4 linked regions of the Astyanax mexicanus genome follow. The protein of the gene in region 3 interacts with the protein of the main gene of each other region in a pairwise test. Links are inferred from orthologs where the notes say so. Each region holds a gene or a part of one and is shown on either strand. Other genes may lie near its edges. The genes, in order: dctn2, hddc3, ccdc172 and fam13c.

Region 1 (7,236 bases), on a different chromosome or scaffold from region 3:
CCGGCAGAAAAGCACCATTAGAGGCACAGAAGAAGAACTAAAATCAAGCACATAATTTCAAATCAGAAAGAAATAAAAGTCCACAGTTCTATGACTGATCTTCCCCGATTGAAGAAAAAAAAAGAGATTAAAATTAAGATTAAAACCCATGCAGTCACTTCGTCAGAAAAGGAGGACCTCTTACTTGCACAAACTAGAGTCCAGGGTGGATCAGAACAGGGAGAGTGGGTGGGTGGGGTGTTGTGATGAGGAGGGAAAGTTCTTATTAGGTTAACTGTGTGTCAGGCATAATCACACCTTCAATAAACACATATGAAACATCAAATCAAGCCCTGTGTTGATCACTTACCGACTCAAACTGTGCTTGGTCATCCTCAGGCAACTCGCTGGTCTCATACACATCAGGCTCGTTGAAGGCCTATGGAGAGATTAAACAATCCTATTAATTCTTTAATTCTAAAAACACAATAAGGCCGAATGTTATGAAAAGCAATCTAATTGCCAGAACAAACAAATAATATTCTGAAACACATAAGATATAATGTACATCCAAAAGCATAAAAATAACCCCCCTAATTAGTGAATTTAGCTGATAAGGTGAGAAGGCAACGTAAAAAGTCTTAAAATTGCGCACACAACATAATGTACATCTTGTTTGTATGATCTCTTTTGTCGTTTGGACACTCTAGAGTACATCCACATGAGGCCAAGGTCACCATGCCCTTAAATAGAATTATACAAAACCACCAGCATTGGGATGTGGATATGCAGATCTGGGTTATCAAAAGTGAATTACCTCCATTTAATTTGTTTGTGCAGAGCCTCTGAAGTACCAAGGTTGGAAAAAAATTATATTTAGAGACCTTAAGACTGAAGGAACTATTTATTACATTGAGAAAGAAATACTGAAGCGGTTGATTTAACTGTTAAATAGAGAAAATGATTTGTTAAATTGAACTAATGATTGATTAAATTGGAGGAATTATGGGCTGATGCCGATTTACCCGTTAGAACACATTATAAAGTTACAGAAAGATTAAACACCCCAGTATACCATTTATATACCTTTTATCATCCAACCCACTGTATACAAACAATTAAATAAAATGTTTCATCTGAGCAATTTGTTTTCACATTTATGTCTTCACATTTATTTAAATAGCTAACTGATTCTTATATAGACGGGTTACAGCTGTAACCCCTCTTTTTTTTAACTAACAAGGTAAATAACAATAACAATAGATCTATTGAAATTTAAAAATAAATAAATAGCTTAAATCAACTCATTTTAAAGTAGCATGGCCAGAATCACTTAATTCTTTTCAGGTATACAATAAACACTTCATCTAATATAGTCTGGAAATATTGGTCACATTCTCTGATGCAAATGACAATGAAACTAAAAAAAAATATTGAGCATCCGTAGTTAGTTTTTTTTTTCCGTATGATCCAAAAATAATTACATAATCTGGAGAGAGCATACTCCTCCAATGTCACTAATCAATGCTCTCCTGGCTGAATGCAATCCATCATAATATATTATTTATTTTACATATGGTTAGTTAGCTAGTGTATCTGTACTGTTAAAGTTGGTGTACTGTATGCAAACAATGGAATGTTTCATCTGAGCAATTTGTTTTCACAGTTATTAAGATAGCTAACTGGTTCTTACATTGACTAGTCACAGCTTTAAACCCTCTTTTTTTAATTAACAGGTTAAACAACAATAACAATAGATATATTGAAACTAACAAAAACAAAACGAAATTAGCTTAAATTAATACATTTTAAAGTAGCATGGACAGCATTGCTTAGTTCTTTTCCGGCATACAATAAACTTTATTGTATGAAATATTAATATTAATATGAGCAAATATTAGTATCAATGCTCTCCAGGCTGAATGCAATCAAATCATCACAAAAAGGATCCATCATCCTTCATAATCATCAAACTGAAAACCATTGGACAATTGGCCTTATTGACAGGATGCTTTATTTTTGTTAGCTAACCTATATTTAATGTTTTAATATATAGTTAAGTTAGCTAGCTACTGTAGTTATCTGTCCTGTTGAAGTTGGTGACCTGCCTGGCCGCCGCCCTTTAGACAGCCGCTTCCACAACACTGCCAACAGGGCAACTGCAGGACTGAGAAGCTTTACTTAAAAATCCTGCTGTTTTTAGTAATAAATTTAGAAGTAAATAGCTATAGAGATTTGTTTCGTTGTTTGTTTTATGGCAATAATGAAGAAGCCAGTTAGCTAGCAAGCTAATAAGCTGCTTGACTGAAGCTAAAATGCGTTTACAGCCCTGCCAAAACAATAGCATTCTGGTTAGTTAAGCTAAGCTAACCTAGCTCAAATCTAAACCAAACACTTCCCGGTGATTTTCAATAGGATTTTGTGCACAAAAAATAGCTATATTCACCTATTTAGCTACAAAAGATAACTAGCTGAGGCTGCATTGTCTTCAACCGGCTTTTCAGGGCGGAGTAATAATGGACAGCTAGCAAACGCTAGCTAGATATGTTAGTCAACTAGCCAGCTAAGCTAGGCTAGCTACCAGACGCTCTTTTCTAGCTAACTTCACTTTTTAGAAACACAAAGCTGTGAAATATCGCCCATAACTGCTGCAGCCATGTGCCCCAAAAATATCCACACCCGCAATAAGTCTATCAAAATTAATAATACGAATGCGGCTGGTTAACAGTCCCTTTAGCCACTTAGCTGCTAACGCTAAACGGAACAAGACACCGTTAGCCCGATGCTAACACTGTGCTGGTATTAAATTATAGACACTTACAATGCCTGGTAAATTGGCGTATTTCGGATCTGCCATCGCAACCAAGAAGAGAAACCAGAGCCGCCAGTGAAAAACTCAGATATTCCTGTAAATAATGTCCAGGTTTAAAAAGGGCGTTTATTGATGCAGATAGGGAGAGAACTGAGTCAGCGACCTGCTGCTGACAGAAGCGATAAACCCGCAGCAGTCTCGCGTGAACTGCAGCCAAAACCCACCTCAGTACAGGCACTTCCCAGTTTAACCAGACCACTCACACTAACACCACTTTCCCAGTTTAACCAGGCCACTCACACTAACATTGCCCAGTTTAACCAGGCCACTCACACTAACACTGCCCAGTTTAACCAGACCAGTTCTACACACTGCCCACTTTCCCAGTTTAACCAGGCCACTCACACTAACACCACTTTCCCAGTTTAACTAGGCCACTCACAATAACACTGCCCAGTTTAACCAGACCAGTTCTACACACACACACACACTGCCCACTTTACCAGTTTAACCAGGCCACTCACACTAACACTACCCAGTTTAACCAGACCAGTTCTACACACTGCCCACTTTCCCAGTTTCACCAGGCCACTCACACTAACACTGCCCAGTTTAACCAGACTCATATTATATAGATGTACTACACACAGAGTGATCTATTTTAAGCGTTTATTTATTTGAATCAGTGTCTTAGAAAATGTTAATAATATTTTATGTAACCAATTTGGTAATTTTTGGTACTGGCAGTGTGGGCAGTGTATCAAGTCCTGCTGAAAAATGAAATCCGCATCTTCATAAGTTGTCAGCAGAAGGAAGCATAAAGTGCTGTAAGATTTTTCAGGAAAACACTGCACTGACTTTCAACTTGATAAAACACAGTGGACCAACACCAGCAGAGACATGTCTCTCCAAACCATCATTGATCCAAGCAGCTTGGACTGTGTTTCTCTCCACGCTCCTGTCAGATTCTGGTTCCTTGATTTCCAAATTAAATGCAAAAGTTACTGATGGTCATTGATGGTTTGGAGAGACAGGTCATCTGCTGGTGTTGGTCAAAAGTGTGTACAAGAAACTGAGACGCTATGGACGGAACACTATGGTTAGTTCTTCAATTGTCAAATAATGTTTTAATGTTGTTTTACTATACAATATTACAAATAATATTCACAATCAGAGATTGGACTTTTTTGTGTTATTTAGCAACAACTCCTTTTCGGTGTGTTATTATGTAGGGTAAATCAAAGGTGATTAGGGCATAAAGTGAAAGGGGACAGTTAAGCTATATGGTTCATTTTCTTCTGGTTATAAAAATCCCTAGCTATAAAACCACAAAATATAAATTAACATCTTTAGTATTACAGAAATGGACAATTTGTTTGACAATGTTGTTCTGTCCTAATCAGCCTCTATAGTTTTATATATAGTAGTAACAATAAATAAAACAGTATTGATATTGTTAACTGGCCCAGCACAACTGGGCACACGTATTAGAGGTGCAAACATAGTGGAGTGAAGTTGTATTTAAAGGATAACTCTGGTGTGAAATAGACTTGGGGTGTTGTAAAACATAATAGTGAGTACAAACTTTTGTTGAATAGCCCACCTTTAGCCAATGCTGCCAACAGGCTTACAATGTGAGTGATAGGGGCATAGCATGGCCCATGCAAAGAAATTGCTAATTTTACACATTACCAGCTCAAAGTAGCTCCAATATTCATGTTTTAGCACTGAATAAATTTTGCAATCTGTTCCCCTATCCTACCTATTAGTTGGTGCTTGTCAGTCGACTTCTTGTGACTTAATACAGTTTAATAGACTACCTGTGCACAATCAAAGTTCTCAGTGCCTCATTTTAAATGTCAGGACCCTCAGAATCCTACAGATTAAGTGTGGAGCTACTTTGAGCTTTTTAATGGTGTACAATTAGCAATTGTAAGCATGGTAAGCCTGTTGGGAGCATCGGCTAGAAGCGCTGTATTTGGGAATGCTGGAGGTGAAAGAATGTAAGCTATTTGACAAATGTCCATACTCGTTTTTTCTGTTTCACTACATCCCAAGTCAATTTCATACAGTATTTCTCCTTTAAACTGTAGAGTCTGCTTTCCTTTCCCTTCTTTCCTGCAGTGCTTCAGCTCAAATTTTCATTTTCTATACCTTGGGAATTAGGGCTGGATCATTTGGAGCATCTCCAAGACCAGGTTTGCTGACCACTGCTCTTTTCTGCCACGCGCTACGCTTTTGTTTTCCTCGCTTCTTTTGCTTTCATGTAAGAGGCTTCAGAGCATCAGAGTAGTGGTCCTGATGCGAGCATCATCGCGTCGTCACGACGCCAGGGCACAGGCTCCGCCTCTCGCAGATAAAGGCCAGTCAGCGTGGAGCTGGGCCGAGCGCGTGCGTCCGGACTGCTGCAGCATCACACACCTCTCACTCACCTCACACGCACTGATCTTCAGACTGGAATAGCAGGCAGAGCTGCAGATCGTTCAGGAGTGCAAGCCACCGCGTTGTAATTAGCGCTAAACGCAGGTAGCCTATAACGAGTTTGCGCACAGAGAGGAGGTGTTCTGTTTGGGCTGGATGCTGGAAGACTCCTAAACTGCGCATCTTCATCACATCCAAGCAACTCCTGCGTCGAGTCTGCTTTGAATTGAGCGTCTGCGAGCGCTCTCCACGCCGAGGCTCGCCCGCGTTCACGCAGTTGAGCTACTTTTCCCAAATCGTAGCGCAACGCAGCGCAGCGCAATGGCTGATCCAGGCGCAGAATGCAACATTAAGGTGCTGTGCCGGTTTCGTCCCTTGAATCAATCCGAAATTGTGCGAGGAGACAAATTCCTGCCCGTTTTCCAAGAAAATGACACTGTTATCTTGGGGGTAAGTGGCGGATTCTTAAGTATTTGCTGACTTTTAAAGGGTTTTATGGTTTTATAAGCGGATTTCATTAAGAATGCATGCATACATTGACGCAGAGAGGCTATCAGGCTCTTGGCACTCCCCTCTTACTCTTATCTCTTCCCTAAGAAGTTGCCTGCAATCAATAACCAGCTATAAGTCGTTTAATAAAAACAGCTGCATTCAGTAGGAACTCAGAGTCTAATCTTACCATTTCTTACATATTAGAACCAACCAAAGCATTATGGGCTCATGTTACAGCAGAGTGTTTATTTTAATGACTTTAAAGGTTTGAAAATGCACTTATCTCAGTCATCAAATATCATCATCTATAGCTATAATGATGGGCTGATGATGTGTTAAGTCAGCTGTGTCTTACCCAAGCAAACGCAGAGCGAGAAGATGCCACAAAGAGTGTGAAGAAAAAAAAAGCAATTGGATCAGATTGTTTGGCACTGATTGGCCAGTCTTACACAGCAGGACAGATTCACGTTTTACTGCCAGGATTTCTGAGCAATTTGCTGTGTCAGGTCAGAGTGAAATAGTGCACTTTGTTGTCATACACTGTCAGATAAAAGGTACTGAACAGGTACATTTTTGTTCAGAACAGTACAGACTGTACAAATGTTCAAATCAAATGGGCAACATCATCTCTCAGACCCAAGTGTGTACCATACAATTGAAAAGAAAAACAGTTACAAGCGTATTTAAGTATATATGTGTTTCTTAACTAAAGGTACTGAACGCATAGCCTTGTGGGTACCACCCCAGTGATAGAAAGGGGTAACAACCCTAGTGACAGAAGGGGTACCACCCTAGTGATAGAAGGGGTAACCACCCCGGTTATAGGAGGGTAACCACCCTAGTGATAGGAGTGGTAACCACCCCAGTGACAGAAGGAGTACCACCCTAGTGATAGGAGGGGTAACCACCCCGGTGACAGGAGGGTAACCACCCTGGTGATAGGAGGGGTAACCACCCTAGTGATAGGAGCGGTAAACACCCTGGTGATAGAAGGGGTAACCACCCTAGTGATAGAAGGGGTAACAACCCTAGTGATAGGAGGGGTAACCACCCTAGTGATTGGGGCGGTAACCACCCTAGTGATAGGAGCGGTAACTACCCTGTTGATAGAAGGGGTAACCACCCTAGTGATAGAAGGGGTAACAACCCTGGTGATAGGAGGGGTAACCACCCTAGTAATAGGAGCGGTAACCACCCTGATGATAGAAGGGGTAACAACCCTAGTGATAGGAGGGGTAACCACCCTAGTGATAGGAGGGGTAACCACCCTAGTGATAGGAGGGGTAACAACCCTAGTGATAGGAGGGGTAACCACACTAGTGATAAGAGGAGTACCACCCTAGTGATAGGAGGTATATCCACCCTAGTGATAGGAGGTATATCCGCCCTAGTGATAGGAGGGGTAACCACCCTAGTGATAGGAGGGGTAACAACCCTAGTGATAGGAGGGGTAACCACACTAGTGATAAGAGGAGTACCACCCTAGTGATAGGAGGTATATCCACCCTAGTGATAGGAGGTATATCCACCCT
Region 2 (7,448 bases), on a different chromosome or scaffold from region 3:
CAATACACAATAATACCTCAATACAGGATGAGTGTTTAATCAAAACAGATTATATTATACAGCTGATCAACAATCAAAATCATGTGTAATTTGATTAACTATTAAACAACACAAAAAGATATTTTGAATCGAGACATTAGTTAAAAAAATAATGACTATTGTAATGATTATTAATGATTTATCTCGTGTCAATTAATAATTAGGAGAGGGCATTATGATATCAGAATTATACAGTTTTTTTTATGTTGAGATTTGGTCGATATCTGAAACATATATATTTGCTGATTTATTTATTGTTCGCTGGAAAAAATCCAAACAACACTGGCTGTGCTACTTTTATAATTCATTGATTTAAGCTCATTTTTATTATTTTAATTAGTTTCAGCAGCTTTATTACTGTATTTAATCTGATTATTTAATAAAGATTATTTAAAGCTGTGAACAGTCTTTGTAAAAAACAGTTTGATAAATAATGATGTAAAACCTTAAAACCTGACCTCTGAACCTCCACTGAACACAATCAGCCGACATCAGTAAAACATTACCAGAAAATTCTCTCTGAAGAACTCAGGAAGCTCCAGACTTATGATGTCATCATCCAGCGGGAGGAGATAAAAAGCCCATTCATCACACGTCACATCTGCAAAAAATAACATCAAATAAAACGAGTAATTCAGTGTTTAATCTTCTGTTTATTTGAGGGTACATCTGAGGTGAATTTAGAGCACTTACCCCCGAACACCCCCTGCTCCTCCAGAACCGCCTCACACACGTAGAACTGCAGAACATCACATTAGAATATTCACCATTTTCACATCTTAACACGATTAATCCCAGCCGCGATCATGTGACCAATCACTGCAGCTTCATCAGTGAACACGCTCGGAGGAGAGCACTAAACACCAGTTCTGCTGCAGCAGCTAACAGCGCAACATTATACTGTATAAATTCTCTTAGTGGGTTTAGTGTTGTGTTTAAGCCCCGCCTCCACTAGTGTTGCACTCTGGGGTTAGATCCCACTATTCTAATTGGATAAAATCTCAACTTTTAATTAAGATAACTGTTCTACATTTCAGCTAACATTAAACAATCCCCCTGATTACAGTATCTCATTATACTGTGTTATATTGAATTATAAGCCCTAAATTATAAATATAAGATATGAAATATTATCTCTTACCTTCTGAGGGGTAAATATGATCTTATATCTTCTCAATCTTCCAGCTGCCTTATCCAGGTTAACTACATCTGCAAACATTCAAATTAAATAGTAATAATATTAATATTAATATTACTGCTAATGTTTATTTATCTCTACAGAACTGCTGTTTAAAGTGAATTCAGATCAAACCTGAGATCCATTTTACTGTCTGTATCCGAGGTCGTATCAAAAAGCAGAGCCTAAAAACAGAAAATACTGTATTAATAAATCAGATATTAATGAATTTATTCTTTAAAATGCAGAATTAAACTCACTGATCTGCAGTGCTGACGATCGGCTTCAGCTCCACTTTATATAATTTATCCACTTCATGTTGCTGAAAAAGAAAAAGACAAATGTAATGATTTAAACTCCGCCCCCTGAACTGTACTGAACCTGTATGAGTAGGGGGTTGAGTATTGAGGGGTTGAGTATTGAGGGGTTGCGTATTGGGGGGTTGAGTATTGGGGGGTTGCGTATTGGGGGGTTGAGTATTGGGGGGTTGAGTATTGAGGGGTTGATTATAATGGGGTTGAGTATTGAGTGGGTTGAGTATTGAGGGGGTTGTGTATTGAGTGGATTGAGTATTGAGTGGTTGAGTATTGAGGGGTTAAGTATTGAGGGGTTGAGTACTGAGGGGTTGAGTATTGAGTGGGTTGATTATTGAGGGGTTGAGTATTAAGGGGTTGATTATTGAGTGGGTTGAGTATTGAGGGGTTGAGTATTGAGGGGTTGAGTATAATGGGGTTGAGTATTGAGTGTGTTGAGTATTGAGGGGGTTGTGTATTGAGTGGATTGAGTATTGAGTGGTTGAGTATTGAGGGGTTAAGTATTGAGGGGTTGAGTACTGAGGGGTTGAGTATTGAGGAGGTTGAGTATTGTAGGGGTTGAGTATTGATGGGGTTGAGTATTGAGGGGTTGAGTATTGAGGGGTTGAGTATTGGTGATGGTGTGTTTACCTTTAGCGTGGTGACGTTGGCTATTCGGTCGAGTGGACTCATCAGATCAGCATCGATAAACAAGTCCTTCCTCCCAGGCAGCTATAAAACAAACACACCATCAGCTCCACCCACCGCCCCGCCCACAGCACCATTAGCACCGCCCACAGCTCCGCCCACATCATCACCAGCACCGCCCACAACTCCGGCCACAGCACCATCAGCACTGCCCACAGCTATACTGGTTATACTGGGTTTATACTGGTTATACTGGGTTTAAACTGGTTATACTGGGTTTAAACTGGTTATACTGGGTTTATACTGGTTATACTGGGTTTATATTGGGTTTAAACTGGTTATACTGGGTTTAAACTGGTTATACTGGGTTTAAACTGGTTATACTGGGTTTAAACTGGTTATACTGGTTATACTGGGTTTAAACTGGTTATACTGGGTTTATACTGGTTATACTGGGTTTAAACTGGTTATACTGGGTTTATATTGGGTTTAAACTGGTTATACTGGGTTTAAACTGGTTATACTGGGTTTAAACTGGTTATACTGGGTTTAAACTGGTTATACTGGGTTTATACTGGTTATACTGGGTTTAAACTGGTTATACTGGGTTTAAACTGGTTATACTGGTTATACTGGGTTTAAACTGGTTATACTGGGTTTAAACTGGTTATACTGGGTTTAAACTGGTTATACTGGGTTTAAACTGGTTATACTGGGTTTATACTGGTTATACTGGGTTTAAACTGGTTATACTGGGTTTAAACTGGTTATACTGGGTTTAAACTGGTTATACTGGGTTTAAACTGGTTATACTGGGTTTAAACTGGTTATACTGGGTTTATACTGGTTATACTGGGTTTAAACTGGTTATACTGGGTTTAAACTGGTTATACTGGGTTTAAACTGGTTATACTGGGTTTAAACTGGTTATACTGGTTATACTGGTTATACTGGGTTTAAACTGGTTATACTGGTTATACTGGGTTTAAACTGGTTATACTGGTTATACTGGTTATACTGGGTTTATACTGGTTATACTGGTTATACTGGGTTTAAACTGGTTATACTGGGTTTAAACTGGTTATACTGGGTTTATACTGGTTATACTGGTTACCTGTTCCAGCAGGTAGATGAGCTGGTCCCGGGCCAGTCTCTTCAGCAGGGAAAAGTCCGGAAGCTCCGGAGCGTCTCTCCTCCCTGACTGAGCCATCAGACATCCAGCACAGCGCCCCCTCACTGCAGCCGCCTGCATTACATACATCAATTACATCAATTACATCAACAACATAATCACATCAATAACAGTAATTACATCAATTACATCAATAACAGTAATTACATAGTTACATCAATAACAGTAATTACATAAATTACATCAACAACATCAATTACATCAATAACATCAATTACATCAACAACATCAATTACATCAATTACATCAAGACAGCATTTACACAAATGTAATTTAACGGCTCACAGACAGAACACAGCAGTGCTAAAGCGCGAGACTCATAATAATATAAAAATTAAGACAAACACAGAAATATAAACATCTCTCTTTACTGCAGAAACTGACAGATGGATTTAGCGGCATATCCGGATTTTTTGGAACATTTTCTCGATTTTATCCATAATTAATCACATTATCCATCTGATGAAAGATATTATATGTAAATGTAATTATCTGAAGCTTTTAAATCCTAATAAATCTAAAATATTAAATCTAAAATATTATACATAACATACAGCAGCTGCCTCACCTCCTCCCCGTTTCCGGAAGAAATGGAATTCAGAGCAGTTTGTTTCCGCACGGACCCGTTACAGCGGCGCACACTGCAGAACAGAGATCCTATAGCGAGGAGAGGAGTCACTGCGGAGTGTTCAGGGTCTGTCTGACACTAGAGGGCGCTCCTGAGGGAGTCCGATATTAATAGATTATTATGGGTCAACTGAGCAAAAAACAGAGTTCATAAAAGTTTAAATTTTTTATACTGAAACACAGAACAATTTCACAAGTTTCAGCATCGATAACATAATTTTTAAGGTTATGTCTTTTATTGGTGCTCTGACTGCAACTCGAGCAACAGCTCACTAATCAATCAGCTCACAGTAGCAGCACTGCAGCGCCTAAAACCTGTTTACTGCATAAATAAACTAAAGTATACAGTAACGATGTAAAGTACATTATTCTGCTGTATACAATTATATAAATTAAGTAATTATTCACACCCCCCCCCCGGGCTCCCTCTATTGGTGCGCAGGGATTTCCTGTTATACCGGAAGTGAGCGGTCTCGCTATAAATCAGCTTTAGCAGAAACAGCAGCGCCTCAGAGGAGCTAAAAATAATCACAGATTTAACTTAATAAAATAAAACTTAATAAACCTTTAATAATCCGAATCACAGCAGGAGTATAATCTGTAACAGGTGAGTGATTTTACTGAGTTTATTTCTCGGTCTAGTTTCTCATGTAATAATAGTTAATGGTTCCGAGATTTAAACTGATTTATTTATTTTATTATTTTACACACTTTTATTTTTTAACTGATTTAACCGCAGAATAAAAACCGCTTTTTATTCTGTTTAACCGCTGATAATCTGGGTTATTTATCTTTCTGAGCTCAGAAACAGAAATCAGTCCTTTAACTAAACTGTAAAATTGATTTATTGTTTATTTTAAAAACAGTTTAAACACAAGTTGTATAGTTAAGTCTGTGAACTAATATTTGTTTAAAGCAGTAAAACTACAGCAGATCTCGTGTAGAAATGCAGTGTATTTCTCATTACAGTAAATTCAGCTATGATTTAAAATCCAGTATAAAGAAGTAGAGATTTACTGACCTGTGGAGATTACTGAGATCAATACTGAGATCAATACTGAGATCAATACTAATATGTAACTTAGTGTTTAATGTATATATTTGTTAAGGCTGATACATAAAGATGTTTAAAATGCAAAAAATTAAACCCAAATTAAATTAGATTTGATTCAGGGTTACAGAATAAAACATTTTAAAGCTGAAATAAATAAAATACTCTTATAGAAAAGGTTAAGAAGCACAGAGTTCTGCTGTTCAGCTCAGTAAACTGAATTAAATTCTGTCACTGTTCACAGAAAAAAAGTGTCTGAAAAATGTTGAAGTTTTAATATTGTTTTATTTTATATTATTTATTTCTAAGTGTAGAAATGAGTTCAGACGCTGTGATTCTGTTGGAGACGATAAACTTCGCTGCGGAGAAACATCGTAATCAACGCCGTAAAGATCCGGAGCAAACTCCGTACATCAACCACCCCATCGGTAACTCACCACCCCGTACACAATAACTCATAATAAAATTAATAATAAAGTTATCAATACATTACATTACACTACTCTACAGTACAGTTTATCAGAGTTTGATTTAGTGTTAGTTACACTTTTCACATCCTGAGATACAGATTAGTGTAAAACTCAGTTAAACTTTTACAGCTTCAGCTCTTCTGAAAGGCTTTCCACAAGGTTTAGGAGTGTGTTTGTGTGTTTATGGGAATTTTTCACCATTCTTCCAGAAGAGTGTTTGTCCAGCTCATCCAGGTCTTTATGGAGTTATGATCTTTATGGTGCTCAGTTATGTTGGAACAGGAAGGGGTCGTCCCCAAACCTCCTCTGGAAGTTGGGAGCATGAAATCTAAAATATCTTGGTCTGTTTAAACATTAAGAATTTCTTTCACTGGGACTAAGGGGCGGAGCCTAACTTCTGAAAAACAACCCCACACCATGATCATAATCCCCCTCAACCAAACTTTAGTCATGTTAAACCAGATCACTCCCAACTCTTTATTTCTATATAAATCACTGATTAATGCTGAAATAATGATGTTGTCTGTTGAATTTGTATAAATACGTTTAATCTACACTCTGATCTTTTTACAGGGGTGGCGCGGATTTTGAGTCATGAAGGCGGAATCACAGATATTGAAGTTTTACAGGCGAGTCCTGATCGATTAAAGTTGTTAAATTAAAACAAAGTTATGTAGCAAAAACGTTTTACAGTATACTGGGTCAACTTGGCCAAAAGATTATATATGTAATATAAACATATATTATTAACACATGTAATATACTGCTTAAAATATATTATTATACAGTACCAGTCAAAACAGAGTGACAGGTAAATGAGATATTAATTAATAACTGAACGGTCTGTTATTCAGGCGGCGCTCCTTCACGATACGGTGGAGGACACGGAGACGACGCTGGAGGAGCTGGAGGCGGCGTTCGGGAGCACGGTGGCGAGGATCGTTCAGGAAGTGACGGATAATAAAGCTCTTCCTAAACTGGAGAGAAAGCGGCAGCAGGTTGAACACGCGCCGAACTGCAGCCGCCAGGCCAAACTCGTCAAACTCGCCGATAAACTCTACAACCTGCGGGACCTGAACCGCTGCACCCCACAGGGTACCCAACCCCAACCCTCACCCCAACCCCAAAACCCTTTATTCCTTTATTTATTCAGTAGTTCTATAATAATTACAGACTGTTTGTGTTTCTCTGTATTTATCTTTATTATTCTCCTCCTAATTCAGAACCCACAGCATAGAAAACCACCACAGAGCAGCTATTATTATTATTATTATTATTATTATTGTAATTATTATTATAATTATTATTATTATTATTGTTGTAATTATTATCATTATTTGGCTGGTTATTCTCAGCACTGCAGTGATTAGCATGGTGGTGGTGTATGAGGTGTTAGTGAGTGTTGAGCTGGTACAGTAAGTGGATCAGATACAGCTGTGCTGCTGGAGTTTTTAAACACCTCAGTATCACTGCAGTGGTCATAATATTCTGCTTGATTGATGTGTAATTATAAGTGTGTGTGTGTGTGTGTATCAGGTTGGACGGCTGAGCGGGTTCAGGAGTACTTCCTGTGGGCGGGGCAGGTGGTGAAAGGACTGCGTGGGACGAATCCGGTTCTGGAGGAAAAACTGCAGCAGCTCTTCACTGAGAGAGGCGTCAAGATCTAACTCTAATTCACCCCTGTACTCATCTATACTCTACTCTATACTCTTTACTCTATACTCTACTCTATACTCTACTCTACTCTATACTCTACTCTATACTCTACTCTATACTCTACTCTACTCTATACTCTACTCTATACTCTTTACTCTATACTCTACTCTACTCTATACTCTACTCTACTCTATACTCTACTCTACTCTACTCTATACTCTACTCTACTCTACTCTATACTCTACTCTATACTCTTTACTCTATACTCTACTCTATACTCTACTCTATACTCTAC
Region 3 (7,770 bases):
ATTGTTGAGTTTTGAGCTAGTTAATTTTATATGTACACTACCAGTCATCATTTTTATTTATTTATTTTTTTTCTACATTGTACATTAATATTAAAGACGTGAAACCTATTAAGGGATACATATGGAACTATGCTGTGAACAGTAAAACTCAGGAACTCCTGAGATCTGTCCTCAAAGCAGGACAAATAAATGTGGCTACTAAGAAGAATCTAAAGTTAAAAAACATATTCTGGTTTGTTTAGAAAATACTTTTTACAATGTAAAAAAATCATAAAAAGAAAACATGTTGAATTAGACGGTGTGTCATTGTTATTTGAATTTCAGAGTATTAGAGATGTATAATGATATTAATTTCAACACATTTCTACATTTTTGGGCATAATAGTGAATAACATAATAGTGAAGGATGTTCTTTGAACTTGTTTGTTAAGTTTTGCTCTGCGAAATGCTTTGGGAAACAGAACTGGATTGATTTTAGGAAACATTTCTCTATAATGCTCTGTAATGTCAAACTTGTTTGCAAAAGTATTTTTTTTATATGAGCTTACATTTCTCTGTTACATTACAATATTTTTCAAACCTGTTTCACATTATGTTTCTCATTATGTAATATCTGTTTAAATCTCGCTGATTCTGGTCTCAATTTAACAAATCCACGTGAAAGTATTGGCATCCACAGATATGTACTGTACAATGGACATACAGGATACTGGTATTCACAATCCCCATACTGATGCATTCCCATTACGTTACATTGATTTTTTCCAGCTTTGTTATGTTAAATTGATTTTGTGTCAGAGTGATTATTAGTAATGAAAACTCAATAATAGCCTCAAATAATAATATCCATCCGTCGCCTCCCACTGTTGTCACGGATGACCCAGGCAGGGAGACGAGGAGGCGGACACAAGTGCAGGTAGGGTGAAAATAAATAATAATTTAATAAATAAATAACAAGAAAACGAGAAACAAGTAAACACTTAAACATAAAACAGGGAGATACATACAAGGAACTATGGAATAAACTAAATGACTGAAAATAACCAGAAACAAACGAGAGGAACCAGAGAACTAAAACAAACAAACTAGAGATAATAATAATGATAAACAGACAGGGAATATATACAAGGAGCTAAACTAGGAATCAACACAAAGCAGGGGTATGTACAAGGAACTAGGGAACACGGAAATAAACAAGAAACTAGAGATAAACAAAGGACAAGGGCTAAAGCTAAGAAAACGAGGGCTAGGCTAGAAAACACGAGAAGACAAAAAAACAACAGAGGAAGGTGCAAAGACCGACGGAGGACAAGGTGGCAGAGGAGGGCTATTTATAGTAACATAAAACACACTAGAATTGGAAACACCTGGGGAAGGGGCGGAGCTACAAATGAGAAACACATGGTGGAAATCTACTGACAGGAGACACAGAGAGGCACAGGTCACGTGGGGAAGACACACAGAGACATGAGACAGGGCTAAGACGTGACAACTGTATTGCACACATTTACTTCACCATTTAGAAAGCTCTGTCTGTCTGCAGGGTGTCAAAGAGGTAATTAAGGAATAAAGTCGTTAACTAATTACTGATCCAATAGGAAAATACTAACTCAGGTTGTGTTTTATGCTTTGTGCACGATGGGTTAACACATCTGATTGAGTATATTTCCACTCGAAACATGATGTACAATGTTTTTCAAAGAGCTAACTGAGCTAATTATAATCCAGCGGAAATTAGAAATTGATTTTGCAGCGCTGCCTGTAGTTGATCCTCATCTTTAATAAAGTCTTCCGAATACATTAAAATGTTTAATTCACAAAACCAATTGTTCCTATAACAGGAAATTCTCCATAAATATAAGCCTTACATAGAATTTTGCTAAACATCAGAATCAATTACAAAAAGAGTTTTATTAAATAAAAAAATTAATTATTATATTATATAAAAGTGGATCTTACCTTTTCATTCAGCTCAATATGTGCGTGTTCCAGCTTTTCAGTGAAAGACTTTATTTTCTCCTCAGTCTTGATGATAGCAGCTTTAACTAGTTGGAAAAAATAGAAGTACAATGTTATAAAAGAGTTTCAGTTTAGTTCTCCAGCACTGAGGGTGGAGCAGTATTAGCATTAGCCGCTAACTGCACTAAGCATTAGCTCTTTTGCCGTTCAGAGGTGAGTATTATCGGTTTGTAGCCTGCTGTTACCCTGGCTAGCACTGCTTGAGCAGCATTAGCATTAGCCACTGACCGCACTAGGCGCTAGCTCTTTCGCCGTAGCACTAGCAGTTAACCGCCTTAGTGGATATCTGGAAAACTAAGCTAACTGTGAATAAACATAAGCGCTTTTCTCACTGAAATAAACAGTTTTTTAGGAGAGAAATCTATGTAGATTAACATCCTTTTTTTTAGAATTACACTTTTGTTTACTTACCTTAGCTTTATTTCACTTAGTTAACCTTACCCCCCCACCACCCCTTTAGGACCTGCTGAATTAGAAGGGAAACATGGCAACACCCCTGTTTCTTAATAGTGTCGCATAAAATACCTTTTATCCCGCCTTTGCCTTATAGTGCAAAAAATACTTTTTATATTATAATATAATAATACTTATCATTAAAAGGAAGTGAAATACAAAATAAACGAGACAAGACTTGAGCTACCGAACGGTTAGCTAGCCAACTAGCTTGTTAGCAGTTAACAGGGAGTTAGCCATCTGTTAGCCACTAATTTAGCCACTAGCTAGCATTAGTTTACTTACTAAGGTTAGCTAACTCTAGCTAACATAGTTGCCTAAGCTAGTTAGTTAAATATCTAGCCAGTTTAACAGTTTATACCTTCATGGAGCTGGCGAGTGTTGTCTGACACTTGTTGCTCAGTCAGTAAAATCTGCTGAAAGAGAGAATCCAGACTCATATTTCCAATAAAGAGTAATATTTTAACAAAATTTAATTATCTATAAGTTAGCTTAGCATTAATTTCCTTCAGTCTTTAAACAGAAGTGTTTTCTTTTCACACCCATTTCCTGACAAAAGCTAGAAAGGCCAAATCCCGCCTCCTCCTATGATTGGCTGGAAGAACTCTTTCCTCTAAGCAACGATTGGTTAATAATTCCTACTTTCAGTTAGTGCACCCGTTTTCAGGCAGTAACAGTAATGGTCACTGTTATTCAAACAACACAGTGAACAAACGATGTAACTAACATTATTAAACAGTAGTAAACTGAAATATTTTAATATTACTTGTAATATTTTAATATTAATATTAATAAATAATAATATTTAATATTATTTCTAAAACATTCTATCACAACTTCAGGTGATTTGATAGATAGTGATAAATCATATTTATAAAGTTAGTTAGTGCACCCTTTTTGAGTACTAGTAATTAGTACTCAGTATTAATCAATTAATGTTAATAGTGATCAATATTAATGATCACTCAAAATTAAACTTTAAATGATAATGGAATTCCATCAAAAGCAGTGCATTTATCATAATTATCATATCAACAATATATATTGTTGATATGATAAATGCACTGCATTTATACATTAACTTAAATACATTCACATTCTTTCCTTATTATTTGGCCAAAAAGTTTATTTATTTATATTTTATTGATTTAGGTATTATTAATGTGCAATTATGCGTACATTAGGTTGTTTTAATAGCACCAGAAAAGTAACCTGAGGCCAGAATACAGGATACTATGTTATAAATGCATTAATGCATAAATGCAGTTACTTAGTTAGACCAGCACCTGGCCATCTCCTGAATCAGCTGCGTGAAGGAACTGAGCACAGTTAACTAACTGATGTGCTGTAAGAAATGTAACAGGGTGGTGTACACACTCTCTCGCTCCAGCTCTGTGATGTAAAGGACTACAGGCACTTTCTCTCCACCTCCACAAAGCCGCCCGTCATTCATCACAGGCCTGCTTCAAAGAGCTATTAGAGCTGCCAGCCCGGGTATTGTTTGACGTTTGTAGGCCCCGTCAGCAATCAATAATTTTAATTCTCTGCCGTTCGGTCCGTCAGGATTTGTCCCGTCATCCTTTACTTTGTCCAATTTCCTGAGCGCTGTGGGGAAGAGGGTTTTGATCCAGGGCCATGAAGCACATTAAAGTGTGAACGCAGCTCGTTTACGGCCCAGACTTTATCACTCTGACATTCATTTGCAAAATTAATAGTAAATATTGATTGAGGCTTTTCATATGTCTCAGGATTGATGTCGCGTACCTTCCTGCGGCTGACGATCCTCAGCCCAGTGCGCGAACCTGCTTACTCATCATATTCCAGTTTCTCACCATTAAAACAGGATCCTCACCCAACACACACTCCTAAATCACCAGCAGAAATGACGAGAAGCTCCATATCAAAGGTTACAAATCAGTCCGGTTATTACACATCGCTTCATTTTCTTTTCGACCCCCCGGCCTGAGGGGAAGTGTGGGGCCGTGCGGACCCCCCGCTCACGCTCATTAGAACTGAATGGAATCACACTCTGATTTATAAGAGCTGCGGAACATGGCAGCTGATTGCAGGCCTGCAGTCGATAGACTCGGTGATGTAAACGGTGTTTTAAACTATTAAGCTGCTCCGGAGCGAGTCGGACGGGGTGTATGCAAATCAATGGGGGGTAAATTATACATGCCGTGTTAAAGTTCAGTATGTTAAATATGCAAATAGGTGTTTAACTGAGTTCAGTTTGTACTACTTAATGATAGCATGAGTGGGATTAAATGGAGCCAATCCCCTCCACACCGAAATACAGACACCCCACACAGACACACACACACACACACACACACATACACACACGAGTGAAAGTGAGCGAGAGAGAGAGAGAGAGAGAGAGAGAGAGATATGCTTTTAGTTTGTATTACACCATGACTGATAATTTGAATATATATTACATATTCTAGTGTATTCTAATAATACATGCCACTAACATGCCACATGGAACATGTCATGGTACATGAACTACTATTGTGTCCCATGACTTTTGCCATGTTCCATGGAAGCTAAAGAATGCTGCACCGGTCTGTGGGATATGTGTGTGGGGTCTCACTGGATTTCATTGAATGCAGATTTGATTTCTGAGTCTGGCTAGAGAATTCTAAAATTTAATTAATGCCACTTTGCTGCGATCATGCTGGCCAGTGTTCAAGCTCACTCACAAGTAAGTAAAACTACTTATTTTGTGATCAAGTTTATAGTTTGTATTTCAGTTTTTTTCACAGTCAAGTCACAATATAGTTACCACCAGTTACCAAAGTAAAACAACTTAGAAAGCTGTTGGTGTTACCAAGCCTGAAGTAACACTTTTCAATTACCTCTACATACTACTATCCTATGACTTTTGGCATGTCAGTGCATGAAAGAAAAGAAATATATATATATATATATGATATTGTAAATACAGAAATATATAGAAATGTATAGAAATATGTATATATATATTAAACCTATGATGGAATAGAGAGAGAGACAGAGGGAGAGAGAGAGACACACAAAGAGAGAGAGAGAGAGAGAGAGAGAGAGAGAGAGAGATCTAAATCTAAATCTAAATACACCAGTAGAGGGCGACCTCCGCTTGTTTTTATTCTCATTCTTAACGCAATAAGACTTGAGGTCTTTTCCATTCGTGTTAAAAAAAAAATCACACAGGACCGAAAATGGCTTTCTGTACTCCACAAGCTTCATTTAAAATCTTTAAAACACCTCAGTCCGGGTTTAAGATAACTTTACATAATTTGTATTTTTTTTCATACATAAATGCTGATATATCTGAACCACTTCTATTTTATTACAAAACGTGTATGTTAAATCTACCAACGTAGATTTAAGACATACAAATATATTAAAAATATTAATGAAAGAGCATTTTAAAATGTATAGAAAAAAAATATGCACTACAAACAGTGGACCCGCTGTAATATTTTCTCCACGCGTTTTCCGCCAAACCCCGCCCTAGCTTGCCACGATTGGCTGTTACTTCTACCCGTTTTATGCTGCGATTGGCTGGCACGCCCCAAGAACCAGCCCCCAAGCATCTACGCGTAACTTGTAGCCAATCCAAGAGCAGAACACGAAATCCGATTAGCCAATCCCAGTTTGAGGTGGGCGGGCTCTGTCGGAAAACGGGTGCGGAAAAAAGAGCGCACTTGCGCTGCGAACAGCACCCACAGTACGGCTGCCGCGCGCTCACTCCAGCGCGGGTTTCATTGGATACGGAGTTTTTGGGGCTCGAGCGTGTTTTATTTTCACAGTTATTTCCAGTGTTTTTTTCAATAAAATACTGAATAAATACAGTTTTTCCTGTGCTTTTCTCCACTCGCCCATGAGTTAGAGGCAGCAGCCCGGGCTTGGTCGGAGCCTCGGAGCGGTGCGGAGGACTGTACTCGGCGGGGAGGCTGCGGTGAGGATGCCCGGGCGGAGGAGCGCAGCGGGCGGCAGGAGCTGAAGCTGAAGTTCAGGAGCGGAGAACTGTGTGGAAATTATAATAAATACTGAGAAATAATCGCCTTTACGTGTCGAAATGATCTTCACTACGCTGTGTCTGCTGCTGCCACTGCTCGGTAAGTTTTATTAACGTTTAAAAATGTTACAAAAAGTGTTTTTTATTTGCTAAAAAGCGAAATTCCTAACCAAATTCTACATTTCTTGTTTCAAAAGTCCCAATTAGGTGCTGAGGCTCTGGGGTTTTTAGTTTTACACTTTTTGACAGTGAAAATCTAGTAGTTGCTCTTTACATCTTGAGTGAACCAATAAAAAAGCTCCAAAATGTTAAATCTTATTACATAGACTTCCATTTAAAGTGAACAGGGAACAACAATCAAAATCAATTAAAAGACCACCGCAACTGTCTATGTAAAACTCTGGGATACGGTCTCTATTATGCAAAGAAAAAAAAGAAAGAAAACTCCAAAATCACCATTTTTGTTCTTTACAATGTCAAAATTCATTGGAAAGTATAAAAGTACCAATGAAAATGCTTAAAAATGTAAAATCTTTTTACATAGACTTCCATTGAAAGTGAGCAATGAACACTTTAAGGTAAATTAAATGAAAGACCACCATAACTCCTTAACTGTATATGTAAAACTCTGGGATATTGTCTCTGTCATGCAAAAAACTCAAGAAATTTCAGTTTTGTTCTTTACAATGTTGAAATTAATTGTAAATGATTAATGGACCAATGGAAATGCTCCAAAATATGAAATCTTTTTTACATAGACTTCCATTGAAAGTGAACAATGGGGTAACAATGAGGTAAATTAAATAAAAGACCACCATAACTCTTGAACTGTCTACGTAAAACTATTGTCTCTATATTGTCTCTATCATGCAAACAAAAAAATCCTCCCAAATCTCCAATTTTGTTCTGTACAATGATGAATGGACCAATAGAAATGGCTCCAGTGGATTCCCTTACATTTTGCCAGTCATATTTAATGAACCAAAACATTATGACCATGATATCACAGATAAAGTAAATACCAGATTGTTTCATAACACGGTCTCAAACAACTTCTTGACATTGTGTTAAATTCCATAGTGAATGGACCAACACTTTCAAAAATGACCCCAATGGACCAGTGGAAAAGCTCCACAAATTACAGTGCTTTGTTTTTTTTTTGCCTTTTGATAATACCATGTGGCAAAATTTTAATTAAAACCATTCACAAATAAAGTAAAGTACAGATTGTCTCATAACTGCCCGCGTGCCAAACTGGGATATTGCCACAAATCTGTTGTTGCTCACGATTA
Region 4 (7,642 bases), on a different chromosome or scaffold from region 3:
CTGTTTCATTTTTTTTTACAATTGCTAATGTCTTCCCTACAGCTTCACATTTTTACTGACCGAGGAGACGGATGACCCTCAGATACCATGCAAGGTAAAGAGCCTACACACACATCTTTTTAATTATGCAATTAGGTTTTATTAAAACATTACATGTGCAAACGTACTAATGAGTAATAATCACAATATACATTACACAAAAGTGATGGGATAGCATTTTGTAAACTGATCATAAAGTGCCTCCCCTTGTACCTACACTGACCTAAACGTATACCCACAACACTTATATTATATTTACACTTAAAGTACACTGCAACTGTATTTTTTTTTACAGTAAATTCATCCAGTAAATAATTGTTTAACGATGTCCTGTTGTAAGAACCCTAAGAACACAGCTGCCACCTGTATATATAGTGGCATGAAAAAGTATTTGACCCCCTACAGATTTCTTTTATTTTTGTTTTTTTGTCATACTGATATTTTTCCAATTATAAAATAAACTTTAATGTCAGATAAATATAACCAGAATAAATATAAAAAGCACAAATCAATCTAGCTCTGTGGGGAAAAAAAGTGTTTGCCCCCTAAACCTTATAACTTGGTTGCAATCAAGCTTTACTGATAACTGGCAGTGAGTCTTTCACATCTCTGTGTTTTTTTGTTATTTTTTGTGTCATTTTGTTTCACTCTTCTTTACAGAATTGTTTTAATTCAGACACATTGGAAGGTTTTTGAGCATAAATGTCCTGTTTAAGATCATCTTTAGCATCTCAATCAGACTTTGACTAGGCCACTCCTAAACCTTTATTTTGTTTTTAAAAGCCATTCAGCCATATTCTATTCGTGAATAATAGCTCTCACTGTGGTCTGCTGGAGTCCCAAAGCTTCAGAATGACTTTATATTTTTTCCAGACTGATAGATGATCAATGACTTTGTTTTCTCATCTGTTTTTGAATTTCTTTAGATCGGGGCATAATGTGTTGTTTTTGAGTTTTTTTTTCTGCTTCATGTTATCAGACAGGTTCTATTGAAGTGATTTCTTAATTTTACAGGCCTGGTTGTAGTTAGTAGTGAAAATACACAGCTTTCAGAAAGGGTGATTAATCACAGTTAATTTATGGATGGGGGGATGCAAACACTTTTTTACAAACGGTTAAATTGGTTTGGATAGTTTATTTCCTTTAATACATGAAATCATAATTTAAAAAAGTGCTTTTTGTATGATATTGTTTTTAATTTTACTACTGTATACCAGTATAAGAAAAAAGGGAAAAACGAGTGGTTACACTGTGAAAAATTATTTTACAGTAAGTTAACAGCAAAAGAAAATTCCAATAAAGGATTGTACAATTCTGTTTGAGTGTGTATATCTGTGCAGTGTGAAGCTGCTTTTACACAGAATGCTTAAAATGTGCTGCTGCTCTTTTACAGTGTTTTCAATGGGACGTGCAGTGCGGCTGCGAGCAGTGAATGCAGCACAGACCAAGCTTAGTGTAAACAACTTGGAGCAGCAGAGACAGCCTTAGATCATAGCAGTATATTATTTGACTAATATATCAGATTAAACTGTGCCTTATCAGCAGTTAATTCAATTAAAAATAAGTATATTTGATAGCTGGGTTGGATCGAGACCAGATCACGTTCTCACCACAAATGAACCACTCCAGAAAAACAATCTGCATATTGGGCGGGGCAGATTACGGCAGAAGTTGGAGTCCAATTTAGTGGCTTATTTAATTAATTGAGTTAAAAAAATAATAACGCCTTATTGATGCCAAATTAATATTGTGCATTAAGGCTTTAATATGTTTGAAGCAACAATTTGCTCTCACTTTGTTTGGGTAGAGTTTATTTACCAGTATTTTGGGTAAATATGATCTAAACTGAACAGTTAAGACAATCAATCTATTGTTTCTTAATATGTTACCCAAAAGACCCCTGACATGCTTTATTTGCGTAATGGTAGGGGTGAAACGATTAATCGAGTGAATTGAGTAACTCGATTAAAAAAAAAAGATTGATACATTTTCTGTGCCTCGAGTAGTCGTTTAATTAATTTTAAAACTCAAAGCCCGGAATTTAGCACGGACTTTTAATGTGAAAAAGCGCTTAGCATTATGTCACCCACACACAGGACGCAGGTGGAGAAGATGGAAGTTTTTGGAAATCAATAAGATTTCCATCAGTGTAGCTTAATAACATAACGACAGCGCTGTTTAGTATTAGAAATACTGTCTAATGTGTGTGGTTAGTCTATTAGAACAAATGTAAGTATTAAAAATTAAAATAATTTAGTTTAAGGGCGGCACGGTGGCGCAGTGGGTAGCACTTCCGCCTCACAGCAAGACGGCCTGGGTTCGATTCCCGGCTGGGGCGACCCTGGTCTTTCTGTGTGGAGTTTGCACGTTCTCCCCGTGTCTGCGTGGGTTTCCTCCGGGTTCCTCCGGTTTCCTCCCACAGTCCAAAGACGGCACGTTCAGGCTAACTGGAACTTGATTGAAATTGCCCCTTAGGTGTGAGTGTGTGAGTGAATGTGTCTGTTTGTCTGTCTGTGTCCGTCTGCCCTGCGATGGATTGGTGGCCTGTCCAGGGTGTATCCTGCCTTCCGCCCGATGCCTGCTGGGATAGGCTCCAGCCCCCCCCCCCCAGCGACCCTTCACGGATTAAGCGGTTGACGATGAGATGAGAGATAATTTAGTTTAAATAATTTAACTTAATTTATTTAATTATTATTATTATTTTTTTTTTTTTAAATTGCTTTTTAGGCAAGCAAATATATTTTATCCGATTACTCGATTAATTGTATCGATTTTTTAGTAGAGTACTCGATTACTAAAATAATCGATAGCTGCAGCCCTACATAATGGATGCCCACCTCCTCTACTCACCCCCTTAACTCACCACCTGTATGGACTCTTGCCTATCAGGGCTGCTTTCTCTTGGGTATTCAGTTATATTTTATTGAATGGTTTACTGCCCAGTCACAGTGTTGTAGGCTATAAGTACAAGTTGTCATTTTCTTACTGTAATATTTACAAGAAACTATTTATAGTGCAGAAATCCTAAATGTACACTCTCTACAGTTGCACTGTTCCGTTTTCTTACACTTTCGTAACGTGTGGGGACACACCCCCACATACAGCCATGAATACTCCTCTGCTGTAAGGAGCCAGTTCCTGCGTGTGTGTCTGTGTTGCAGGAGGACGCATCCTGTGTGCACAAGCATGCAGTCTTTACCTGAGAGAGAGAGAGAGAGAGAGAGACTGGGAGAGAGAGAGAGAGAGAGAGAGAGAGAGAGAAAGAGAGAGGAGGGGTGGAAGGAATAAATAGGAGAGGAGGATGAGTCATCTCCAGTGAAGTGAACACAACATCAGCCTACTGCTCCAGAGGCCAGCAGACCCAGTTAGTCCAAGTGAGAGAGAGTGAATGAGAGAGAGAGAGAGAGATGGTGGTTAAGAAGAGGATAAGAGAGATACAGAGATGATGCCAAAGAGATCATTAGAGAAAGAGAGAAAGATGCTGAGAGAGATGAAACGGAGCATCTCACAAAGACACAACTTCACAAACATGACAACGTCAGAACACATGTCTTCTTCTGACGTTAGAGTGTGCGAGTGTGTGTGTGTTTGTGTTCTAGAGCCTCTCTGACTGATGCTGATGCTGATACTAATGTTACTGGTACTAATGCTAATGCTGGTGTACTGATGCTGCTGCTAGTACTTATGCTGCTGCTGGTACTGATGCTGCTGCTGGTACTGATGCTGCTGCTAGTACCAATGCTGCTGCTGGTACTGATGCTAATGCTAGTACTAATGCTGCTGCTGGTACTGATGCTAATGCTAGTACTAATGCTGCTGCTGGTACTGATGCTAATGCTGGTACTGATGCTGCTGCTAGTACTAATACGGCTGCTGGTACTGATGCTGCTGCTGGTACTAATGCTGCTGCTGGTACTGATGCTGCTGTTGGTACAAATGCTGCTGCTGGTACTGATGCTGCTGCTGGTACTGATGCTGCTGCTAGTACCAATGCTGCTGCTGGTACTGATGCTGCTGGTACTGATGCTGCTGCTGGTACTGATGCTGCTGCTGATACTGATGCTGCTGCTAGTACCAATGCTGCTGCTGGTACTGATGCTAATGCTAGTACTAATGCTGCTGCTGGTACTGATGCTAATGCTAGTACTAATGCTGCTGCTGGTACTGATGCTAATGCTGGTACTGATGCTGCTGCTAGTACTAATACGGCTGCTGGTACTAATGCTGCTGCTGGTACTGATGCTGCTGTTGGTACAAATGCTGCTGCTGGTACTGATGCTGCTGCTGGTACTGATGCTACTGCTGGTACTGATGCTACTGCTGGTACTGATGCTGCTGGCACTGATGCTGCTGGTACTGATGCTGCTGGTACTGATGCTGATGCTACTGGTACTGATGCTGCTGGTACTGATGCTGATGCTACTGGTACTGATGCTGCTGGTACTGGTGCTGCTGCTGCAGCTGGTACAGATGCTGCTACTGGTGCTGATGCTGGCAGCTGTACTTTCCGCCTCCTCCTGTGTTTTTATGAATGGATGTGAGGGGAGGGGCGCATTGACGTCAGTGCGTGCGTGCGCATGCAAGCGAGTGAGCACGCTCAGTGAGATCCTCCTCAATACCCCACCCGCCCTCCTTCTCCAACACCCCAAACCCCCTTACCATGATGACACACACACCCCCGGATGCGGGAAAATCCTGAGAAAGCCCCCACCCTCTCTCTATCCTTTTTTTCCCCACGCCTTCACCCATCCATCCGCCCATTCTTCCATCCATATTTCGGTCCTCTACGTGTGCGTGTGCACCCCACCCCGCCCCTTCATCCTACTGCTGACGCTACAACCCCCCTCCCCTCAGCACAGGCACACACCCCTTTCTCTCTCTCTCTCTCTCTCTCTCTCTCTCTCTCTTTCTGTCTTTCGTTTTTCCCACCACTCCTCCACCTCCAGGAGGGATATGAATAATCCATGCGCGCGGGAAGAAGCTGCCGCAGCGAGGAGATCGGCGCACGTACACCGACAGGCACACACACACGCAAACGCGGGCAGGCAGGCAGGCGCACGCGCGACTCTGCTGCCTGCTGAATCTGCAGCGGCACCCGGCTCCATCATCCCTTCCTCCCTTTTTTCTCGTCCTCTGCCATGTTCTGCTTCTGCCTGCAGGGCTCGCTCCTAAAGCTCCAGGCTCTGGAGGAGGACTCCAGCCCACCTCTGGGACGCTCGCCCGAAGACAGCCCACCCGGCCTGGGCTTTAGAGAGGACCCCCAGACCCCCTCGCGCGCCAGCCTGAGAGAGGACATTAGCCCGCAAGGTAGGTTAACAAACACACATACACATGTACACACACACACAGCAGGTGGAAGGGTGGTAGGCAGGTGTGGTGGTTGTAACGCGTGGGTTGCAAGCTTGGGTTGCACGAGGGAAAATAATCGTTAACGCATTGTTAATGCAATAAAGCATGCTGTGTTATTTTTGCAGGGATGCAAATCAGTCACACACGTGGAATTCTATTCCTCTATACGTACACATGGATGCATTTTAGCTGCTGTTGTATGTAACGCATCGATTCCCACAGGTTTCAGTGGCTTTCAATGGATGCATCATGCTGCACAACTGTAATGTAGGCTACCTTTGACGTCAGTGTGTGCGCTGATTCATATGGCAGAGTCGGTGTAGCGTCAGACCCTAGTGATGGAATGGATAAATATGTATACGTTACATGTCTGTTGAATTTAATGATCGATAATTTGTATGTATATTTGCATGTGTGCATCATTGGCATAAGGTTGAGTTAATGGCTCAATGAATGAATGCATGCATACCTGTATTATAACAGTGATTCATGTGCGATTGAGACATTCAGTTGTCATTCAAGAATCGGTTATCTGCATGAAGCATGTGAATGAATGGATTAATTTAAATGAATGGTTGATTTAATAAATGAAGAAAGGAAGAGAGAGAGAGACAGATAGCAGGATAGAGAGCTGAGAATGGGGTTTGTGGGACGTGGCTGAGACTCTGAGGCTGCTTCTGGAAGGTAAAAGGGGGAGGGACTGCTTTGCTTTTGTTTTGCTTGTGCTTTTTTGGCACCATGCAGGCGTCTATTAATAACGCAGAGAGTTTGGACAGAGATGCAGACTGCCCACACCTCCTCCCAGCACGACTCGAGCTCACACTGACACACACACAGGTTTCTATTCCATTGCTGTCTCTGTTTAAGTATTTCCATGCACCTAATCTACTCTAATCAAGAGCAGATTTTGAAGGTTGCTGGATTCAGATGGTCCAAGCTGCTCATTTTTGACGGTCAAGGTGGTTCAAAAAACTGGTCATCCAGGCAAAACATGAACTAAACCCTATAGTGATAAGTAAGCTGGTTAACAGCTCTTGATAGGCAGATTGTCCAGGGTTCTTGCACAATTTTAAAAGTCAAATTTAATGCTTTTTAAAACCTTTTTAAGACCTTGATAAATATAATTTTAGAACCCAAAAGGCAGTAATCATTTCTTTGGGAGAAAATCATTTATTTTCAATTTTGTGATGCAGAACAGAGCAAACATAACATAATTTACTTGAGCTCTCTTTAGTAGCTTTCTGGACAAATGAAAAAAAAAAAAGATCAATTAAATTGTAGTGATGTCTATAATACTAATACTACTACTAACACCATCGCTGCTTCTACAACTACAACTACTAATAATTTTGGTTTGTACCCCGGGTAAGGGTACTTACTATGGACAAATGAAGTCTCCACCTGAGTGTTCCAGAATTAGAACTTATTTAGACCTTCCAGTTAGCTAGCTCGCTGCTAATGTATGTATGCTACCTAGCCCGCAGCTAAAGTTAGCTAGCTCTCCCCTTACCTTATTTCTTTCCCTGGTAGCGTTAGCTATCTGGCCGCTAAAGTTAATGTGTTAGCTATCTCACTGCTAACCTTAATTCTCTTTCCGGCAGCTTAGCTAACTCGCCGGTAAGGTTAGTATGTTAGCTAGCTCAACGCTAACCTTAGTTCTCTCCTCGGTGACGTAGCTAGCTCGCTGCTAACGTTACTATGCTAGCTAACTCGCCGCTAATTTTAACTAGCTTTCCACTAACGGCAGTCTTTAGATGTTCATGGTCGGGCACTGTGTTTTTCCACCGACAATAAACGCATCATCTGAAAATGTAATACCTACAGCAGATTTCCAGTAAATTTATTTACTTGGATTTTAATTCAAGACATTTTAAGACATTTTAAGGACCCTGTGGAACTGTATGTTGTATTTTTTAGTTGTTTTTTGATCATATTACTATATGCTGTTCATGTAGGTCTACCACCATGGTCAAGCTTGGCTATACTCTTTAACTGGCTTAGTTAAATTTTAAACATGTGTCTAGACCAGCCATAAAAGTAAACCATCAAAATCATAAGGTATTTTAGTAAAGAGATAAACTGGTCAACCATGTTAACCATCTTGACCAACTTGAGCTGGCCATGCTGCTTTTTTTTCAGCGAGTAATAATCACCAAAATTAAGTGGTGAACTAAAATGTACTGAATTTGATGGTTTAGATGATCTTCAACCATGATTAACCCTTACCAAGCTAAACACCAGTAACTGGTTGTCC

Evidence for each region.
Region 1: the proteins of ccdc172 (region 3) and dctn2 interact in binary tests that used the Homo sapiens proteins (3 or more experiments, as listed by UniProt). The two-hybrid records come from large-scale screens. The link is inferred for Astyanax mexicanus from reciprocal best matches to the Homo sapiens genes CCDC172 and DCTN2.
Region 2: the proteins of ccdc172 (region 3) and hddc3 interact in binary tests that used the Homo sapiens proteins (3 or more experiments, as listed by UniProt). The two-hybrid records come from large-scale screens. The link is inferred for Astyanax mexicanus from reciprocal best matches to the Homo sapiens genes CCDC172 and HDDC3.
Region 4: the proteins of ccdc172 (region 3) and fam13c interact in binary tests that used the Homo sapiens proteins (3 or more experiments, as listed by UniProt). The two-hybrid records come from large-scale screens. The link is inferred for Astyanax mexicanus from reciprocal best matches to the Homo sapiens genes CCDC172 and FAM13C.

What each region holds. Positions count from the first base shown.
Region 1 is NC_064412.1:9,109,542-9,116,777, reverse strand, and holds the start of dctn2 (dynactin subunit 2), read right to left. Parts: upstream 3,001-7,236; 5' UTR 2,837-3,000; coding exon 2,801-2,836; intron 419-2,800; coding exon 350-418; intron 1-349. Other genes in the region: kif5ab (kinesin heavy chain), read left to right, coding at 5,534-5,662. UniProt on the Homo sapiens protein: Part of the dynactin complex that activates the molecular motor dynein for ultra-processive transport along microtubules. In the dynactin soulder domain, binds the ACTR1A filament and acts as a molecular ruler to determine the length.
Region 2 is NC_064430.1:136,534-143,981, reverse strand, and holds the start of hddc3 (guanosine-3',5'-bis(diphosphate) 3'-pyrophosphohydrolase MESH1), read left to right. Parts: upstream 1-4,430; 5' UTR 4,431-4,583; intron 4,584-5,336; exon of another isoform or gene 5,337-5,341; 5' UTR 5,342-5,343; coding exon 5,344-5,455; intron 5,456-6,070; coding exon 6,071-6,126; intron 6,127-6,351; coding exon 6,352-6,592; intron 6,593-7,033; coding exon 7,034-7,164; 3' UTR 7,165-7,448. Other genes in the region: vps33b (vacuolar protein sorting-associated protein 33B), read right to left, coding at 546-640, 733-778, 1,181-1,248, 1,352-1,401, 1,477-1,538, 2,161-2,241, 3,272-3,367. UniProt on the Homo sapiens protein: ppGpp hydrolyzing enzyme involved in starvation response.
Region 3 is NC_064414.1:5,318,902-5,326,671, reverse strand, and holds the start of ccdc172 (coiled-coil domain-containing protein 172), read right to left. Parts: upstream 3,009-7,770; 5' UTR 2,913-3,008; coding exon 2,834-2,912; intron 2,046-2,833; coding exon 1,960-2,045; intron 1-1,959. Other genes in the region: gfra1a (GDNF family receptor alpha-1a), read left to right, coding at 6,539-6,578.
Region 4 is NC_064422.1:5,001,415-5,009,056, forward strand, and holds the start of fam13c (protein FAM13C), read left to right. Parts: upstream 1-4,632; 5' UTR 4,633-5,177; coding exon 5,178-5,346; intron 5,347-7,642.